Macaca fascicularis: one gene and its partners. The protein of the gene in region 1 interacts with the protein of each later gene in a pairwise test. Links are inferred from orthologs where the notes say so. Each region holds a gene or a part of one and is shown in the gene's direction. Other genes may lie near its edges.

Evidence for each region. The genes of interacting proteins can lie anywhere in the genome.
Region 2: the proteins of NTAQ1 (region 1) and VCP interact in binary tests that used the Homo sapiens proteins (3 or more experiments, as listed by UniProt). The two-hybrid records come from large-scale screens. The link is inferred for Macaca fascicularis from reciprocal best matches to the Homo sapiens genes NTAQ1 and VCP.
Region 3: the proteins of NTAQ1 (region 1) and NT5C1A interact in binary tests that used the Homo sapiens proteins (3 or more experiments, as listed by UniProt). The two-hybrid records come from large-scale screens. The link is inferred for Macaca fascicularis from reciprocal best matches to the Homo sapiens genes NTAQ1 and NT5C1A.

What each region holds. Positions count from the first base shown.
Region 1 is NC_088382.1:133,061,526-133,065,275, forward strand, and holds the start of NTAQ1 (protein N-terminal glutamine amidohydrolase), read left to right. Parts: upstream 1-1,021; 5' UTR 1,022-1,065; coding exon 1,066-1,148; intron 1,149-3,750. UniProt on the Homo sapiens protein: Mediates the side-chain deamidation of N-terminal glutamine residues to glutamate, an important step in N-end rule pathway of protein degradation.
Region 2 is NC_088389.1:64,373,380-64,376,572, forward strand, and holds the end of VCP (transitional endoplasmic reticulum ATPase), read left to right. Parts: coding exon 1-88; intron 89-361; coding exon 362-517; intron 518-1,661; coding exon 1,662-1,816; intron 1,817-1,971; coding exon 1,972-2,077; 3' UTR 2,078-2,631; downstream 2,632-3,193. UniProt on the Homo sapiens protein: Necessary for the fragmentation of Golgi stacks during mitosis and for their reassembly after mitosis. Involved in the formation of the transitional endoplasmic reticulum (tER).
Region 3 is NC_088375.1:195,235,482-195,239,131, forward strand, and holds part of NT5C1A (cytosolic 5'-nucleotidase 1A), read left to right. Parts: intron 1-145; coding exon 146-275; intron 276-2,312; coding exon 2,313-2,435; intron 2,436-3,650.

The sequences.
Region 1 (3,750 bases):
TATTTTTAGTAGAGACGGAGTTTCACCATTTTGGCCAGGCTGGTCTCGAACTCCTGACCTCGTGATCCACCCGCCTCGGCCTTACCAAGTGCTGGGATTAAAGGCCTGAGCCACGGCGCCCGGCCCTAAATACTATTTTAACAATATGGTGTCTTTTCTTCCAGACTGCCAGTAAATGAACAAACACATGATTAACACAAAAAGGATACCATATGGACTCTTTAAACTTTTTTTTTCAAATTTACTATATCAGGAAATTAATATATCTTTTCGAGCCAATAGATATAGGTCTTCCAATTTAAAAGATTAAGTTACAATAGAGTGAGATTTGGGGTGCTATCCCTTTCGGAAAGCGTCCTCGATGCGGTCATATTGGAATTAACCTCCACTCCCCTCCTCTTCTCTGGGCTCCCGCGGACTCCAGGCTGAGTGCTGAAGTGTGGATTTTCACACCCAAACCTCTGTTATTTCAGTGTCTCACCTGGCTTCTCCACAGCGCAGAAGCTCAGCCCCAAGTTGGAAGAGCCTCCCCGGGAGATTCACAGCGAAGCGCTATTCAGGGCCCAACTCCAAGCCCAAACCTAGCTCCACCCTAAGCCGCCGCCAAAGACCCCTCTTCTCCCAAACCTCACCGGGGCCCCGCCCCTGACTCCGCCCACGAGAGCCCAAGCCTCCAGTCCTGCCCCACCCCGGGCTCCACCCACCAGCCGGGCTCCGCCTACCCGGAAGCACGCAGTCCTCCTCGTCCCGGGCTCCGCCCACCGGGAGCTCTCGCCGCTCACCCCACCCCGGACCCGCCCACTTCGCTTGGGCTCCACCTTCCCAGGAACTGGCGCCGCTTGCCCGAGCTCTGCCCATTTCGTCCCGGGCTTCCCGCGCTGAGAACTCGTGCTGCGAGCCCCGCCCACCGCGCTCCTGGCCCCACCGCCCGGAAACTGTCCCGGCCGCCCCGGGCTCCTCCCACCCCGCCCTGAGAGCCCGCGCGGGCCGCTACACGCCCGCCCTTTCCTACGTGTGGTCCAGTCGGTCTTCCTCCGGCGTCGGCGCTGGCCGAGCTAGCTGGCCATGGAGGGTAATGGCCCCACTGCCGTCCACTACCAGCCGGCCAGTCCCCCGCGGGACGCCTGTGTCTACAGCAGCTGCTACTGGTGAGGGGGCGCGGGCGCAGCCTCTGGGTCTCCCAGGCTCCCGGGCCGCGAGTTGCAACCAGGCCCCGCCTCTTCCCGGCCCCTGCTCGGGGGCGCTCCCGGCCTCTACCGGCGGGTTCTACAGTTCTGCGGGAGTAGGGAGCGGGAATGGCAGCTCTTGTCTCTTGAGTAGAGCGTGGGCTGTTGGATGGGGTTGGGAATTCGTCCGGAATCCTAGGGTCGATAGTGCATTACCTGTGCCTGGCGCTTGTCGGTTGGATTTGCTCAGCAGATCTCTGCTTCGGGGCTAGGAAGGGTGGAGCTCTGAAAACCTTTGGAAGTTACTCTGCTGAAGCATGTGGGGTTTCAGACTGAGGCGAAGGTCATTTTAATTTTGGAAGAGAATGGAAGCACAGAGAGTTTGGGATAACTTCCCAAGGTCACCCAGCTAATAGCAGCCAGGAATCCAGTTCGGGCTCTCTGGCACCAGAAACCATGATCTTAACCATGTTGTCATTATAATAATGGTTACATTCACACAGCACTTGCTATATGCCACGCGTTGTTCTGGGTGGTTTAGGTAAACTAAATCACTGAGTATCACAATAACCCTAAGAGGTAGGTATTGTTATCCCCAGTTTAAAGATGAGAGCACTGAAGCACAGAGGGCTGCAAGTAATTTGCGCAGGGCCACATCACTTGTGAATGAAGGAGTGGGGATTTACAGGCAGAGTCTGGCCCCGGAGTCCATGCTCTGCACCCCTGTCCTAGGCCACCTCTGCAGCTGAAGCACCGCCCCTGCCTTGGTCCTTTTTCATTCCCATGCCTACTCTTTCCTGAGTAATGGTTTCTCCCCCAGCTTCTAGTCCTTGCACAGGAACCCTCAGTGCTATCTAAAACTACCCTTCCCCCTTCTGCTTGTCACTAAATCAATGCCACCGAGCATTTGTTCGGCCCTGATTGCATGTCAGGCTCAGTGGCAGGTGCTTCCATCGATGTCCATGAGTAGCTTCTTTTACTATCGTTATCCTCATTTTACTAATAAAAAGAGTGAGCCACAGAGAGGCTGTTGTGTGCCCCCAAATCACACATCTAGCAAGTGGTGGTGCTGAAACTGGAACATCTTCGTGATTTTGAAGTTCATGCATCTTAACTGCTGCACTCTTTTTCTGTCCTGCCTCTTCTAAATCCCGTTAGTTCTCCTCCCTAATGTCCATTGTTTTATTCATTCATTCAATAAATGTGTATTAGGCACTTGGAGTATGTGGCCCACTTCTGGGCACTGGAGATACAGCAGTGAACAAGATCGACAAATTCACTCATGGATCCCTTGGTTCTTGTGTTTTGATGAGAGAAAAGCAGATAAGGTCCGGTGCGATGGCTCACGCCTGTAATTCCAGCACTTTGGGAGGCTGAGGTGGGCGGATCACTTGAGGCCAGGAGTTTGAGACCAGGCTGGCCAACATGCAGAAAGGCTGCCTCTACTAAAAATACAAAAATTAGCCAGGTGTGGTGGCACACGCCTGTAATCCCAGCTACTCGGGAAGCTGAGGCAGGAGAATCGCTTGAACCCGGGAGGAGGAGATTCCTGTGAGCCGATGCCACTGCACTCCAGCCTGGGAAACAGAGCGAGATTCCATCTCAAAAAAAAAGGCAGACAAAAACAAGTAAACCATGTTTGGGTGGTGTTAAGTGCTGTGAGAAAAATAAGATAAAGGATGGTGGCTTATTTTCTATTAGGATATTTTGAGAAGACATTGTTGATAAGGTGATATTTGAACAGAGATCTGAAAAAAGAGGGTGAGAGCTTTGCATCTATTGGAGGATGGTCATTTAAGCAGGGAGAACAGCAGGTACAAAGGCTCTGAGAAGGAATTGTGCTGTATGATAGAAACAGTGAGGAGACTGGTACAATTGGAGTATCAGAGTTAGAGCAGTCTTGTAGAAGAATGGTAAGAGTTGACCACTCTACCGCAGGATTTCTCCGCCTAGGTTCGAGTTGACATTTTGAGCATGATAATTCTTTGCTATGGGGGCTGTCCTGTGTATTGCAGGACATGTAGCAGCGTCCCTGGCCTCTACCCACTAGATGCTGTTAGCACCCTAGCTCTAGTTGTGACAACCAAAAATGTCTCCAGACATTGCTAAGTGTCCTGTAGGGCTTGGGGGGCAAAATCGCCTTTTGCTGAGAAACAGTGCTCTACCCTGTCTGAACATGTCAGGTGGGGGCACTGCACTACTTTGGCTCCTGCAGCTTTGTGGGGTTTTTTTATTTTTGAGACGGAGTCTCAGTCTATCACCCAGGCTGGAGTGCAGTGGTGCCATCTCGGCTCACTGCAACCTCTGCCTCCCAGGCTCAAGCCATTCTCCTGCCTCAGCCTCCCGAGTAGCTGGGACTACAGGCACCCACCACCATGCCCGGCTCATTTTTGTATTTTTAGTAGAGATGAGGTTTCACCACAGTGGCCGGGCTGGTCTCAAACTCCTGACCTCAGGTGATCCACCCGCCTCGGCCTCCCAAAGTTCTGGGATTACAGGCATGAGTCACCATGCCTGGCCATCCTGCAGGTTTTTAAACTTGAAATGAGTGCCTCCTGTCTACTTCTGTTAGCTTCTGTCATGT
Region 2 (3,193 bases), on another chromosome or scaffold:
TGATCAGCTCATCTACATCCCACTTCCTGATGAGAAGTCACGTGTTGCCATCCTCAAGGCTAACCTGCGCAAGTCCCCAGTTGCCAAGGCAGGTGCAGGATCATGGGCTGTGGGAGACTTCTATGAGTCCTCAGTCTGGTATAGAGTGCTCTTTGGGTTCTGGACAAGATTGCTTTGGGGTTAGGGTTGGTCTAAAGGGAAGGTAGAATTTTTGAGGGTATTAAGATAATCTAGAATCAGGAATAAAATGGGGTGGCCAAAGAAGGGGCAAACTAGTTGGGAGTGCTTGGATGGCCCAAAGATCTGTGTATCTCAAGAGAGAAGAGGCTAAATGCTAAGGTAGCTCTGCTGCTTCTTTTAGGATGTGGACTTGGAGTTCCTGGCTAAAATGACTAATGGCTTCTCTGGAGCTGACCTTACAGAGATTTGCCAGCGTGCTTGCAAGCTGGCCATCCGTGAATCCATCGAAAGTGAGATTAGGCGAGAACGAGAGAGGCAGACAAACCCATCAGCCATGGTGAGTCTGTATCCTTTCCCCAGATGTGCCAGTCATGGGGAGCCAGGCAGCAGCCACCACCATGCCCTAGAGTTGAGAGTAGAAGTTGTTGAAAAGATCATCTGAGAAGAATGTTAATAGGGCATCAAAGATAAAGAATACTGAGGTGAATCCATTCAATTTGGAATAAGGCCGAGAAGAGATGGGCAGGCTCCATTCTCAGTCTAAACCAAGCTCCATGAGGGAAATCAAAGTATGAGAGTGCACCAAACAGAGCAAGGTTTTTGTTCTTGTTTTTGTTTTTTTTGAGACGAAGTCTTGCTCTGTTGCCCAGACCGAAGTGCAGTGGCGCGATCTCGGCTCACTGCAACCTCCGCCTCCCAGGTGCAAGCCATTCTCCTGCCTCAGCCTCCCGAGTAGCTGGGACTACAGGTGCATGCCACCACGCCCGGCTAGTTTTTTGTATTTTTTTTTAGTAGAGACGGGGTTTCACCGTGTTAGCCAGGATGGTCTCGATCTTCTGACCTTGTGATCCGCCCGCCTTGGGCTTTCAAAGTGCTGGGATTACAGGCGTGAGCTGCAGAGCAAGGTTTTGAACTGAGATGAGACCCATATACCTGTCCCTGATGGTTGGGGAAGGGATGGGGTCCACAGTCCTCCCAAAATGAAAAGACAAATTCATGTGTGTGTAAGCTCCATAAAGGTAGGATCTCTGTCATCTCACTTGTTTTCCACTATGTCCTGTGTTACCCTTAATTAATTCATTAAGTTCCAAACATGGGACTTAATGAATGAGCAAATAAATGGCTTTCTTTCTGTTTTGAAGGGTCTGTGACCTTCTCTCACCCATAAAAGCTTAAAACTACTTATGAACTAATCCTAGGAAGCAGTCTCATAAGTCACAGCAATTGGCCTCTCAATGGAAGAGATAGGTTTTGAGCTGGGCTGTGAAGAGAGTATAATTTGAATAAAGGGAATAAGCAGCCCAAATAATGTGCTCTAGTAGTAGGATTGCAATCATTGGGAAACCCTGAGTATATTTTAGAGTATATATGTCACTGAAAGCGAGACCACTGGGTAGGATGTAATCCAAATGTGGTAAACACTGAAAACTATTGGCATTTTAAAGTATTAAGCCCTAGTGATCTGTGTTTACCAACTATAGGAGGTAGAAGAGGATGATCCAGTGCCTGAGATCCGTCGAGATCACTTTGAAGAAGCCATGCGCTTTGCGCGCCGTTCTGTCAGTGACAATGACATTCGGAAGTACGAGATGTTCGCCCAGACCCTTCAGCAGAGTCGGGGCTTTGGCAGCTTCAGGTAACTTGGTTGGGAGCCTTAGACAGTGCTTAAGTTACTTTGGGGACCTACACCAAAAAGGGAATGGGAGTCCTAAGGAAGCTAGAGGGGTAGTTGTGGAAATCTTACACAGGCTCTGTCCTAACCGTCTTTTTTGGCTTTGCTCTCGTACACAGATTCCCTTCAGGGAACCAGGGTGGAGCTGGCCCCAGTCAGGGCAGTGGAGGCGGCACAGGTGGCAGTGTATACACAGAAGACAATGACGATGACCTGTATGGCTAAGTGGTGGTGGCCAGCATGCAGTGAGCTGGCCTGCCCGGACCTTGTTCCCTGGGGGTGGGGGCGCTTGCCCAGGAGAGGGACCAGGGGTGCGCCCACAGCCTGCTCCATTCTTCAGTCTGAACAGTTCAGCTACAGTCTGACTCTGGACAGGGGGTTTCTGTTGCAAAAATACAAAACAAAAGCGAAAAAATAAAAGCGATTTTCATTTGGTAGGTGGAGAGTGAATTACCAACAGGGAATTGGGCCTTGGGCCTATGCCATTTCTGTTGTAGTTTGGGGCAGTGCAGGGGACCTGTGTGGGGTGTGAACCAAGGCACTACTGCCACCTGCCACAGTAAAGCATCTGCACTTGACTCAATGCTGCCCGAGCCCTCCCTTCCCCCTATCCAACCTGGGTAGGTGAGTAGGGGCCACAGTTGCTGGGTGTTTATATAGAGAGTAGGTTGATTTATTTTACATGCTTTTGAGTTAATGTTGGAAAACTAATCACAAGCAGTTTCTAAACCAAAAAATGACATGTTGTAAAAGGACAATAAACGTTGGGTCAAAATGGAGCCTGAGTCCTGGGCCCTGTGCCTGCTTCTTTTCCTGGGAAGAGCTTTGGGCTACCCACCACTCCCAAGGCATTCTTCCAAATGTGAAATCCTGGAAGTAAGATTGCACCTTCTTCCTTTCCTGATCAACATCAGTATGATGTCTCCTGTTGCCTCACCCTGTGTGTGCAGTATCACTGGATAGGACTGGTGGAAAGGGAGCAGCCTGACAGAGCTCCAAATGTGGAGAATATGGCATCCCTCCACCTATATTTGATGTGAACGGTAAGGCTAGGCCTGCAGAATCCCTTATCCTGACCAAAGACTGTGTTTAGGAGCCATTTGAAAATCATAGGGTTGCAAAAAAATACAATCTTATTTGCTGGTGGATATTCTCTATACTCCCTTTTAATGCATCTAAAAATCCCAAACATCCCCTGGTTGGTGATCACTTAGCGTTGTGCCCACCTTTATTTTATGTACTTTGTTTGATTTAAAAAAAAAAAAGCTTTTTGTTACTATAAGATTTTAGTATTGAATTTTTTTTTCCAAACAGAAAATAGACTGTCCTCTTCAATCACTT
Region 3 (3,650 bases), on another chromosome or scaffold:
GCAACTTGCATTAGGAGAAGGTAGTTCATGCGCACTGATCTCATCCCAAGCATGGCTCCTCACCTCCCCTCATTGGATCCTTGGCCACCAACTTCAGGTATCAATCCTTGGGGGTCTAAGCTGGGGGATGCCCTCTCCCTTCCAGGCTCTGGAGGCTGTGAACAGGCGGCTGCGGGAGCTGTACCCCGATAGTGAGGACGTCTTCGACATTGTCCTCATGACCAACAACCATGCTCAAGTGGGTGTCCGCCTCATCAACAGTATCAACCACTATGGTGAGCATGAGCATGAGGATGGGGGGTTTGCCCTGGGACACCCCTACCAGACCCCCAGGGATGGGGCCACACCTCTGCAGGATGGAGTTGTACTGACCGGAACCCCAAGCCCAGTGTGTGCTGGTCAATTCGCTGTTTAAACAAACAAACAAAGAAAACCCTGATTTGTAGTGTTGCTAGTTTTCAGGGTGTAAATATTTCCACCAGGACTGGTTTCAAGCTATCAGTGGTTGAACAATACAAATGGCTCACAAAATTTCTGAGTGTTTACCTGTGGGCTCTTGCAAGCCTGTCCAAGTCAGCTCCAGCACACCCCACTCTCAGTGTGATTAGGTGGGACACTTACTGCCTCCCTGCCTCAGTTTCTCTAACTGTGATGGGGCTAACAGGTCTCACAAGGCTGCTGGGAGAATCAGGTGCAGCTGTCAGAGCGAAAGGGCTTTGCGTCTTAGTCTAAACTCAAGGTTAAAAATAATAGACCCTCCAGAGCTAGCTTAAGCCCAGGAGAATTTCTTATTAGGTTACAGGGGTGTCTTTCAGAGGACAGGAAATAAAATTGGGCCTACAAAGGCCTGAATCCAAGTACTGGAAATATCTCCCAGGATCTTCTTTTCTTCAGGCCACATGAACATTTATTTGTGCTTCTCTAGCAAGTTTGCTCTTTTTTTTTTTTTTTCCTCTCTCCCCTGAAATTGGATTTCTCTGCTTTTCCTAAATAAAAACCATATTCAAGAAAACCAGGCCAGGCGCGGTGGCTCATTCCTGTAATCCCAGCACTTTGGGAGGCCAGGGCAGGTGGAACACTTGAGGTCAGGAGGTCAAGACCAGCTTGGCTAATATGGTAAAATCCTGTCTCTACTAAAAACACAAAAATTAGCCTGGCGTGGTGGTGCACACCTGTAATCCCAGCTACTCAGGAGGCTGAGCCATGAGAATCACTGGAGAGGAGAGGAGAGGAGAGGAGAGGGGAGGAGAGGGGAGGGGAGATCCACTTTAGGGAGAGAGAGAGAGACAGAAAAATAATACACCTGATGGGGCTCGGTGACTCGCGCCTGTAATCCCAGCACTTTGGGAGGCCGAGGTGTGCAGATCACGAAGTCAGGAGATCGCGACCATCCTGGCTAACAGGGTGAAACCCTGTCCCTACTAAAAATACAAAAAAATTAGCCGGGCGCGGTGGTGGGCACCTGTAGCCCCAGTTACTCGAGAGGCTGAGGCAGGAGAATGGTGTGAACCCGGGAGGCAGAGCTTGCAGTGAGCCGAGATCACGCCACTGCACTCCAGCCTGGGCGACAGAGAGAGACTCTGTTAAAAAAAAAAAAAAAAAAAAAAAAGAATACACCTATATTTATAGGTTTACAAGGCCTGGTTTTTAGCAACCAAAAAAGTCTAGTAGGCATTTTTAAATCCTAATTTCAAATTGCTGGGAGCAGGATTGATATTAAAAATGTTTAACCACCTGTGTGACATCCACACTGCGTAATCAGGACAGACCCTCCCTATAGTGCTGAAGCAGGGCTCTGAAGGACCCCTGCCATACCAGGCATTACCACCTTCTGTTGTGGACTCTGGGGAGGACAGAGGTCCTGGGTAAGGGGCTGCGAGAGTGACGGGTAACTTAAATGGGCTCAGAGCAGCAGCCGGTTTATCAACCAACAAATACTTTACAACCTTTGCAGTGATGAGGACCAGTGGACTGGCAGCCTAGGTAATCAGATTGGCTCAGCTTGGGTCAGGTGTCTGCTCTTATCCAATCAGCTATGACCAGGAGGCGGGGTCACACAAGCATGTAGCACTGTGATTCCTTGACAAGAGAATGTCCCTGTGAGCTGGGCAATTGCTCTAGAGATGTGATTGTCCGCACTTCACGAAGGATGGAGGGGCTCAGAGGGGAACACTGGCCTAAAAATCACACAGAGCCACTCTGTGCTGCCGTACCACACCCAGAACTAGGATGGCGTCCACTGGACACAGAGAGACTGCCCGGAAGCCCAGGGTTGACCCTGGCCTCATCTGGGTCCTTTACCTCCTTCCCAGACCTGTTTATCGAGAGGTTCTGCATGACAGGTGGGAACAGCCCCATCTGCTATCTCAAGGCCTATCACACCAACCTCTACTTGTCAGCCGATGCGGAAAAAGTGCGAGAAGCCATTGATGAAGGTAAGTCTAAGTGAGGAGGGAGAATATGGGGAGTGCAGCAAAGGGGTCCCTGAGGTGGAAGGCCTGGTCCTAAAGTTCTGAGCAGGTGCTGGGAGTTGCCATGGTAACTAGAAGGCAAGGCTACACAATACTTTCCTTAATTCTTATAATCTGTCCTATAAGTTCTGAAAGTAAGGCCCTACCCATTCCATCTTCCTACTTCTGGCCCTACTGTGTCATGAATGCTTTTACTACTCAGCATCACCCAGCTTTCTGTTTCCATGGAAACCCTCTCTACAGCCCAGACAGCTACTTTCTTCCATGATTTCTCCAAGTCAGAAGGAGTTCTGATTCCTGTAGAACCAAAGGCAGCCTCTGCCCTGTCCTGGGCCAATGGGGAGGAGGATTCGTATCTAGTCCAGCCTGAATGGTAGGATCTGGGGAATGGCCATCATCTCCAGCAGCTGGGCTGGCCAGTGCTTAGGGGAGTTTAGGAGACCCAGATGCAAGTACTGACAAAGAGAATGTCCCTCTATGTGTGTCTTCTTTATTTTTTTTATTTTTTTATTTTTATTTTTTTATTTTTGAGACGGAATCTCACTCTGTCTCCCAGGCTGGTGCAGTGGCGTGATCTCGGCTCACTGCAAGCTCTGCCTCCTGGGTTCACGCCATTCTCCCCCTTCAGCCTCTGAGTAGCTGGGACTATAGGCGCCCGCCACCATGTCTGGCTAATTTTTTGTGTTTTTAGTAGAGACGGGGTTCCACCATGTTAGCCAGGATAGTATGTGTCTTTCCAGGGGCAGTTTTGGGTGGTATCCATATTCTCAGTCCTCCCAACGAGGTGCGTATCCTATTGCAGGTGGGAGAAAACAGGCCCATACAGGAGAAAGGACTGGCCAGCTGCCTGAGAGGGCTCGTTAAGCTGAACACTAGTGGCAAGTTTCTTTATCAACCAACAATATATTCAGTTTTCTCTTCCTCTTTCATGTTGCCTGCTGCCTGGAAGCCTGGTCTCTCTCCCCCGATAACTCACTCCCCTGAGCTGCTTTGGAGCTCCTAGAGGCTTTCTTTAACCAGGAACCAGGAGCCATTTTCCTAGACAGATGTCATACCCTCTGGTTGGGGCCTTGGCACTGGCATGTAGGTGTGCCTCTGTGTGTTCGTAACTTGACCTCAGGCTAAGGAGCAAGATAATGGTCCACGGGGAGGCCCTGCTGAGGGTAGGGGTGGTTCTGG